Oryzias latipes: one gene and its partner. The protein of the gene in region 1 purifies or fractionates together with the protein of each later gene. This does not show direct contact. Links are inferred from orthologs where the notes say so. Each region holds a gene or a part of one and is shown in the gene's direction. Other genes may lie near its edges.

Evidence for each region. Proteins that work in one complex are often made in the same cells at the same time.
Region 2: the proteins of cherp (region 1) and rbm17 purify together in Homo sapiens (co-immunoprecipitation; 4 studies listed by BioGRID and IntAct, counting the BioPlex papers as one, with this or other methods). This does not show direct contact. The link is inferred for Oryzias latipes from reciprocal best matches to the Homo sapiens genes CHERP and RBM17.

Annotation. Positions count from the first base shown.
Region 1 is NC_019862.2:1,435,773-1,440,906, forward strand, and holds the start of cherp (calcium homeostasis endoplasmic reticulum protein), read left to right. Parts: upstream 1-1,855; 5' UTR 1,856-2,042; coding exon 2,043-2,067; intron 2,068-2,699; coding exon 2,700-2,873; intron 2,874-4,657; coding exon 4,658-4,696; intron 4,697-5,134. UniProt on the Homo sapiens protein: Involved in calcium homeostasis, growth and proliferation.
Region 2 is NC_019881.2:3,094,440-3,098,796, forward strand, and holds part of rbm17 (splicing factor 45), read left to right. Parts: intron 1-73; coding exon 74-225; intron 226-327; coding exon 328-378; intron 379-1,816; coding exon 1,817-1,893; intron 1,894-1,969; coding exon 1,970-2,068; intron 2,069-2,143; coding exon 2,144-2,216; intron 2,217-4,357. UniProt on the Homo sapiens protein: Splice factor that binds to the single-stranded 3'AG at the exon/intron border and promotes its utilization in the second catalytic step. Involved in the regulation of alternative splicing and the utilization of cryptic splice sites.

The DNA of each region.
Region 1 (5,134 bases):
GTTAAAGGATGCGAATGTTTGAACAATGGCTGTATTTAAGAAATGGACTGAATGACCCCTCCTCCCTCAACTTCTGTACATATAAACAACTATTACTCAGTCATTCTATTGGTCAGAATAACCATTCTGGCTCTGATACATTTTTAAACATCTACTTACAAATCTTTTTTTTTTTCATATTTTTTCACAAATTATTCAAGTAATAAACTGACCAATCAGAGGCCTTAGTGAAAGCATGCAGTGCCCACTGGCCTCCACCTTGAACATTTGATTGACAGATTCCCCCAAGCCACTTTCAGTGGAAGGGGTATGGACTTTGAACAAGCTTACTCATGGTTGGTTCCAGCAGTTGCCATAGAAACAATGACTCAGGCTACATTGGACCAATCACTGCCATCAGGCTCCAACATGGCAACGTCATTTGGTTGGAGCCTGAGGGAAGCTATTTTCTAGAGGTGATGTCAGACCTACTCAGTCAATGAGAAGAGCGTGAAAACAGTTCATCAAAAGGAGCAGAATATTTCTCAAAGTGAAGATGAATTTATTATTACATCAATCATGGATTATTTGGATTATTTAAGTGAAACTTTTGTTCGTCATCCAACAGTAGGCGGTGGCTGCTTCACTTGTAGGCGGTACTTTTTTTACGGCCTACCAGCTACTTTTGAAGCCCTTGGACAATTTAGACTAAACACCAATGAACCTATTTTAAACTGTGGAAGGAAACTGGAGTTTTCAGAGAAAACCCACACATGCTTAAGGAGAACAACTCCAGACTGAATGGTCCCGGCTGGGATTCAAACCAGCTAACTAACCGCTGCCCCACCATCCAGCCCTTGATCCATAAATGATTTTTAAAAGAATTTGTTTTATTTTCTGAGAGTGTGGCCACAAACCAAGTTAGGAGGTTGAATTTATGTCTTTGTTTGCTTGTTTATTTTCTGCATTAGAGTTAATACCAAATTTGCCAGGAGAAGCAAAACACAATGAGATACTAAGAACAAGCATCAAACATTATAAAGAACTCACATATTTCATGTTTGATTTGCACTTTATCCCAGTAAAGCCCAAACATCAAAGAACTGAAAGAAAATTTGAGTTTTTTTTAGAATTAAGATGTTTTTTTGAACCTTTTGATAAAATCCATAAACAAATTATGCAAGATAACTTTTGATGAGAGATATATAGTATCAATTGTGATATATTTGGTGAGTTGGTAAGTTTTTTCTCACAACACTTTTAAAGATGCAAAAATATTTACATCAGTTTTATGGCGAAAAACACCTTATTTATTACCCGCTTTCTCAACTTACATACACACATTTTAACTGTTTTATAAAGAATTAGCCAGCAAAAAATGTGGTATCTTTAAATACAGCAACTAGTCATTAAAATGAATAATATATGATTTTTCTAAATAAAGTTTTAAAATTAGCAAAAACTTTCCTGCCCAAAATGTTTATTAGATTTAATGGAAGGAACCATTTCAAACGAGCAGGAAAAGCGTTTCTACTGTTCTAGCTGGGAAGAAAACAAGCACCAAGTTATATACAATGGGTTTTTGGGTATGGAAGCGATTCTGTAGCATACTTACAAATAAAAGTCAAAACCAGAAATGCTTTTTCATTTTCAAAATGAAACTGCATCAAATTACTCAAAATTAAAATGAAAAATCAATCCTTCAAAATGCTTTTTAATTTCTAATTAAAAACCCGCTTATTCTGTGTCATAATTAAAAGGAAATTGCAAAGAGTGGATTGCAATTTCATGTTCACATCCACCCTGCAACATTGTTTTTACTGACGGACCTACTACATTTGTATGAAAGCGTTCTCTTCACGCAGGATCCGGAATCAGTCTTCTGTCTTTCCTCCTCCTCCGCGGCAGGGGGCGCTGTGGCATCTGCAGCTGCATCCGAGGGAACTTCCGGTATGCTACGGCGGCTAAGCGCCTCCTGTTGTTGTTAACATTTCTCACAACTTATGGTGTAAAAGGGGCGCTTGTGACCCAAATCAGCCCGGTCTGCCCCAGCTCAGCGCACCATGGACATCCCTAACCCGCCTGAAGGTGAGCGTCAGATCAGCTCTGGTCGGGACCGCTAGCTATTCTTATCTGAGCGCGCGGCACTTTTTTGACGTAAGGAACCGCGCGCAACAAAGAACCTTTTAGAACCGTACCTCCCTGCGTTTGATCTCGTAATCCCCCGGGGTGTTGGTTCTCCTCGTTTTCATCATTCCAGCTACTGGCGGAGACCCACGTGAAAGCACAGCAGGCCTCTCGGCTCCGGCTTCATAATCATACTTAACGTAAAAAATCTGAAGCGGTCACATGAGCTGTTCGGAACCGATACAGAGCAGTTATGTGATTCTGAGCTGACACCAATACAATTGAGGTTCACGGAGAACCGGCTTCATACAGAACTGTGGCTAAAATCTATCGGAACCAGCTGAAAAGCCCAGTGATTTCATCTGAAAACGCACGAACGAACCCTCGGTCGGATTCTAACTGACATTTTACACGTTCATTTACTTTTGGTTCAGATTTGATGGAAAGTTTGGACCCACTAAGTTGGAACAGGTCTGAGAGATGATGAGCGGATGAGAGGAATTGGGAATAATCATCAATGTTATATAATCGGTATGCTGAATGGGAGGAGGCCGTGTCTTCTCCTTGCTCATCCTCCTCTGTCCTCTTTGCAGATCAAGAGTTGAGGAACGTCATCGACAAGCTGGCCCAGTTTGTGGCCCGAAATGGACCCGAGTTTGAAAAGATGACCATGGACAAGCAGAAGGACAACCCCAAGTTCTCCTTCCTGTTTGGCGGCGAGTTCTTCAGCTACTACAAGTGCAAGCTGGCCCTAGAGCAGCAGCAGCGTGCGTACCGTCTGCCGCATCACTTTCAGTTTATGGCTAAAGTCTGAATCCAGTGATGACGGGAGCTGCAGTCTGTGTCTGCGGGAGGTGGGGGTTTAGATCGCCCACCCCCGGTGTATCCGTGAGAGATAAATTGAGTTTTTAAAAAGGTTTGGTCAAAATAATGAATATTTGCAATTATCTTTAAAATGGTGATCAGAGCAGCTCAATAACTCATGACTGCAGGAGAAACGACAACAGCTTGAACTATTAGAATGTGATTGATGATGGGAGCGTGTTACTTTGTTTGTTTGGTCTTCTTAGATGGACAATATATGGCATCAAACAGCTAAAATGTCTCCAGATAAACCATCCAATCATATTTGAAAGGTTTTGCCACCGGAAAGAGGGATTCATGATGTTCTTCAGAAATCAATAGTTTCTGTGCTGTTAAAACATGGACATGGTCATATATATGTGGGGTTGAACGCTCTGCCCAAGGACTCTGGAAAACACGTTGGTGGGCAGGATTGGAAGTGAGCCGGTGATCCTGCCGTCAGAGGTTGACCGCTCTACCTCTGAGTCATGGCCAGATGTTTGGTTGCAGCACGGCTTCATGAATCAGAAACTTACGCAGGAAATGTTCTGAAGTTTTGGAAGAGCTTGCTCCACCACTGCTTCTTATTTGGTTTAAAGTCCCACTCCCATCATCTTCTGATCTCTTTCCATAGCATTCCCAGGGGTCTTTTCATTATGATGATGCCCTTGTGTTGTTTTCTAGAACATAGTTTCTGCAGAGCGGCAGGAGTTCATTAGAAATTCACGTCAGAGTTGTGGCCCTCCCCTTCCCATCATCCAACTGTTTACATCCTCTCCTGCTAGCTTACAGCCCCGCTCTTCCCCAACGGGGCAACAAAAATGGTGAGCAGTAATAGAGCCATCCAGTCGTCCAGTTCTGATCCAGATTCCAGCTCAGACCAGGAAAACACAGACGTTCATGGATCTGTTGGTCTGACAGTGGATGATCAGAATGGAGCAGAGCAGGAAGCTGGTGGCCCCGCCGCTTTCAGTTCTCATAAATCACAACTAGGAGCTTTTACAAATGTCATTTTTAATCTGCTCTTGATGCATCCCAATTTGAATAAAGAAAAACTCAGAAAAGCACATTTAACCTTCGGTTATTTTATATACGTCCCCCATCGTGAGAAAAAGGCTACAGGAACGTGGTAAAAACACCATTTTCATTGGAGCGGCTCTTTAAAGATGGAAAAGACAGATTAGCATGTTGTCGTGTTTTCATCATGGAGGGAAGGTTGTATGAAAAAGGACTGACAGGATCATCGCTGTTGGGAAAAGGGTGGAGCTAGATGTAAACTCTTGGTAGTGTACAATATCAGAGACAGTGGATTCAGTGAATTCTCCATTAAGTTGCCGGTGTGCATTCAGTCAAAAACAGAAAAGTGGAGGTGTGCAGTCTTTGAGGTTCACAGAGATTTCCGGCAATGAGATGACAGCTGTCAGATGTTGGGACAGGAGTTGTGGAAGCTTTCACCCTCAGTGCAACTTTCCCCTAAAACGGTTTAAAAAAAGATGGCACCCTCTCACACTGAGTCTGCCCAAGTTCAGACGGTGCTTCTTCAATAGTTATGGCTGTTGTGGAACATTAAGAACACTTGGTGACAAGAAATGGAGAGGACAGAAGAAAGCTGCTGGGTGGATCTGTATCGCGGCACAAAGAAACTGCACTTACTTCTGTGAGCCATGTGATCCACTGAAATGCATTAAAGTCTGTTTTCTCCACTCAGATCCCTCCATTCAAGAAGGGGAGGATTGTAAATCAAAAGGTATTTATCTGGAGCAGGTGTGGCTAGAATCTCATGGATGCTTGGAGGCATTTGGGTCTGCTGTCAGCTGCATCTTCATCTTCATGTGGTCTTCTGCTTGAGCATTCCTCCCATTTCTGCAGAAAGTTTGCCTTTTTTGCTCCATCATGGCTCCATCACTCAGCAGGAGAGCCAGACCTGCTGATGGAGGCTCCACCCACCCTGTTGCTGATGAGGCTGTGATTTGTCTGTGTTTGGGTCAGAGCCATGCACATGCATGTTCACGTGGACTGAAGGCTGACGAGGCTTTTTTCATGTGGGTCACATGCATCCTTAAGACTTAGAGTCTTCATCGTCATCGTACGTTAGCTCAGTGAAAATGGGGCAGTGGTTCTCCCCTTGGTGCAAAACTAGAAAAAAATAACCATCTAAATGCCCCTGTCAAAACACAATTCCTAT
Region 2 (4,357 bases), on another chromosome or scaffold:
CTCCGTGACCTCAGACATTTACCGACTCCCGAACAGAATAAGAGTTTTTTTTTCTTCTTTCTCTCCCTCTCAGAGGTACGGTGGCCCATAAGATCATGCAGAAGTATGGCTTCAAAGAAGGCCAAGGCCTGGGGAAGCACGAGCAGGGCCTGAGCACGGCTCTGTCCGTGGAGAAGACCAGCAAGAGGGGCGGGAAGATCATCATAGGCGACGCTGCAGAGAAACGTGGGTTTTCTTTTCTACCTCTTCTATCGTGGTTTTTTGACTCCTAAAAACCCGCGGAACTCCAACGTGACGATGTTTCTGTGTGTCCTCTAATGCGAGCAGCGGGCTCCAGCCAGGCGGGTGCAGCAGAAATACCAGGCGGGGGCGCTGCAGGTCAGGACATCTCTTTTTATTTCTCCCAGATAAGGAGGCGTGCCTCCAGCTTGTGTTGGCTCCTCTTCCTCTCATCTCCCATCTTTTTTTGCTGTTGTTGCATTTTTAACAAGCACATCCAGCCAGAACCGCTAATGGAGGCGTGTCCGGCTGTCTTTTACATCCAGATTCTCCTAAAACCTTTCAGCGTTCCAGTCGGTAACAGCTGTTTCGTCCCGCATCGCGTCACATGGTTCAGGCTTCCACGGCGTGCGTTCATTTCTGATAATGAACACTTCGTCAGCCATTAACCCTTACTTATTAATCTTTTGACCAACTCCTCCACGCTCGTTAAAGTCCCATATGTTGCGTTTCTTATTTGAAATTAGCCAAAGAAAGCTTCATCCTTAATGTGTTTGACTAAACTACCCAGAATGCCCAGAGGCGCCAAGAGGCAGAGGATTGGTCAGAGAGGTTCGATGGGAGGTTTTCTGTTTGAATTCCCTCCTTAACCCCTAAAAGACTATGTGGTGTCTCGGATTTGTGGTTGTTTTTGTTTTAAACCCCACTACGAGTTGTAGGCGGGAATCTTGGTTTGAAGCAACTCGGCCCCCTCTGAGTACTTTGTTTAAACTCTCCCACAATAGCTTACAACCCCTTCCACCCCCCCCCAACCTAACATTCCCGGTGCAACAGAATGTTGGAGCTGTCCGGCCATTCGGTTCTGAGGGGGGGGGGGGGGGGGGGGGGGGGTTGAGGGGAGCAGGGAGATGGTAGCTTCTACGTCACCAACAGGATCTTCTTCCAACTACTTTCTTTTGTTAACGATTTGAATAAAGAAATACTCACAAATGCAATTTCCACCTTAATGGGTTGAATCAAGCCTTCAACCATCGTTTTCCTGTTTCTCTCTCTTTATTTTATTCATTTTTGCAGCTTATCTCCTTCTGCTACTTTTTTTTAACCATTCAACTATTCAAATGTTCAGCTCTTCAAATCCTTGAACTTTTCCAGATATTCCAGGATTTCCAGGGTTTCTGCCTCCATTGAAATACTTGGAATCCTTGGTGCATAAGCTCGCTGGTTCGATACCCGGCTCTGGCATTTTTCAGGATTGTTGTTGTGCTGTTTTCATTTTATTTATGGTCAACTTTGATCATGTCTTTCTTTATTTTTTGCCAATTATTACCTTTAGAGTTTCATTTTCATTCTGAAGTAAAACATTCAACCTGTATTGGCTCCTTCTAGTTGTCTTTAACTGTGTCCTCTATCATCAGAAACGCCACGTTCATCAGAGTGGGTTTCTACAGTGATGCTTCCTGTTGTTTAGCTCCACATTTAGCTCGCTGTTGATAAATGTACCCGTCATCCACCCCTTCCGTCCTCACATCAGCATTTGCCTTCATCTCTTTGTAATAACCGTTTGTTTGTTTGTTTGTTTTCTTCCTCCGTCCGTCAGCGGATGCCTCCAAAAAGTCTGAGTCGAATCCGCTCACGGAGATCCTGAAGAATCCCACCAAAGTGGTCCTGCTACGGGTTGGTGCTCCGAATCGCGTCCGTTCAGAGTCCGCGGGGCTTTCCTGGGAGCTGAAAACCGCCTCGTGTTTTGCAGAACATGGTGGGCCGAGGGGAGGTGGACGAAGACCTGGAAGGAGAGACGAAGGAGGAGTGCGAGAAATACGGCAAAGTGGTGAAATGTGTCATATTTGAGGTGAGACGGAGCGTCCCGGACGGAGGGGAAAGGGGGTTTGAAGAGGCGCCTGAAAGACTTCTGCTCTCCTGTCAGATCGCAGAGGTTCCCGACGACGAGGCGGTCCGGATCTTCCTAGAGTTCGAGAGGGTGGAGTCCGCCATCAAAGGTGACTGTCGCGGACGGGCGCTCGAGGCTCTGGTTTCATAACCGCTCCGGTAACGCCGGCGAAGGCGTAACCGTTCTAAATGAGTCGGCCCAGATCAGAAAGAAGGTGAGCCTCGGCTCCCTGAGGTGTTATATCATCTGTGGCCCAGCAACCCAGGCGCTTCCCTGCGGCACCGGCAGAACCGGGCTTACATCACCGCTCGCAGAAAGTGGGGCAGACCAAGGGAAGGGTTACACCGCTCTCCACACAGTCATTCTCACTAAACAGACGCCAGCTTTAGGTTTATGCTGTAGAAACGGAAAAATTTTCACTTTTTAACCCTTGTGCTTTCTGGAGGCACGTTGGGAGTGGGGTCATCTGGACCCCACCAGATAGCACAAGGGTTAAAAATAAAATGACGTCTTTTAATAAAATTCTGTGTTCATCGTCGTCCACAGAGCAGACGGTGCCGTTCCGCTCCGTTCTCCAGCCCCTCTCTGTTTTTTTGTTTTTTTTTACTCACTTCTGAGGGTTGAGTGGTTGCCTGGCAACCAACACTTCATCCCCAGAGTCTAAGACAAAGAGCTTGTGTCCGAACTCCTTCACCGCGCACCATACGGGGCATGGCACCAGTTTACTGGGACGTCCGAATCTACAATTTCTTAAATTCCATCGCCCTAGAAGTCTCAGCAAGAAAAACAACAACAACAAAAAAAGCAATCTACATCACTGCTCACTAGGTTGGTGAATATAGACCACAATGCATTGCGTTTGAGCGATTTTTCATGAAAAAAATAGTATTTTTAATACATTTTTTCATGGACCATCCAAGCTTCCATCACCAGAACAAGAGTTGAATCACAATCAATCTTCGTAAAATGTTTGTATTTGTTCGGATTTTATTACGGAAATTGGTGACGTTGTATTTTTAAAGGGGGGGAAAGAATGATCATGGTGTCTGCTTTTAGAAATCATTAGGTTAGGTTTTAGGTTGCTGGAGCCTATCCTAGTTACTGCTGGGCAAAGGCGGCTTTCAGCCTGGACAGGTTCCGTCACAGGACACATTCGGATCATATTTAGGGAAAAGACTTTACTGTTTCATGTTGCAAGTTCCCTGGTCCCTTCTGACTGGACCCGAGTACAAACCTGTCAGTTTGCCCCCACCATCCAACTTCCTGTTGTCTCCTTCCTCTGAACACCAAAACACAAACGGATGAGAGGAAACGAGCCATCAGACAGACAGACAGACAGACAGACGGGAGCTCCAAATGTGCACAGGAAAAAAGAAGAGTTCCTAAAACAGCCATGAGAAGTGCTGCTTCAAACGATACTTCACACTACTTCTTTAAGTCACTATAAAGCTCTTAGTGATGATTCTCTTCGACCTATAATAATATAATAATATTAACTTTATTTATATAGCACTGTTTCGAAATCCAGATTACAAAGGGCTGTACAATTAATATGAAACAAAACCAGTATTAAAAACAGTTTCCAGTATGGAGAAATAAAACCCAGTACACATATGAAATGGTGATAGTGGTTAGAATCAATAAAATCGATAAATCAGTAAAATCAAGAAAATCAAGAAAAAAACAATGAAATCGATAAAATCAAATGTTTAGATTTAAGAACCAGTAAAATCCTTAAAAGCACACCTGTAGAGGTAAATTTTTAAAAAGATTTAAATACTGGTAGGGACCCAGCGAGCCTGATCTCTTCAGGGAGACTGTTCCAGAGTGTTGGGGCTCTTACAGCAAAGGCCCTGTCCCCAGAATTAATTTATCCCTGAAGCTTCAGCTCACGAAATTCTAAAGCGAAAAGAAGCGGTGTAGGGACCTTAACCATTCAGCCTGCAACACCCGTTCGGGGTCCTGGGACTAGTGCTGACGTCCCATTATGTGATTGGCTGTTCGTTGGTCCGATGACGTGTCAGATAGTCATTGGTCTGGACAAATAACGATACCACCATAGAAGAAAATATTATGCAGTCTGTTGTAAACAAGCAGAGCTCCGACACGGAGTGAGATCATCTTCTAAACACGCTTCTAGTATTTTTACGATCAAGTGCCTTTGCAGCCGTACGGACTGCGGTCAGAACGCTTCTCCGGTCCGAACACTGAAACAAAGAACCGTCCCCGCCTGCAGCTACGAGACTCCAG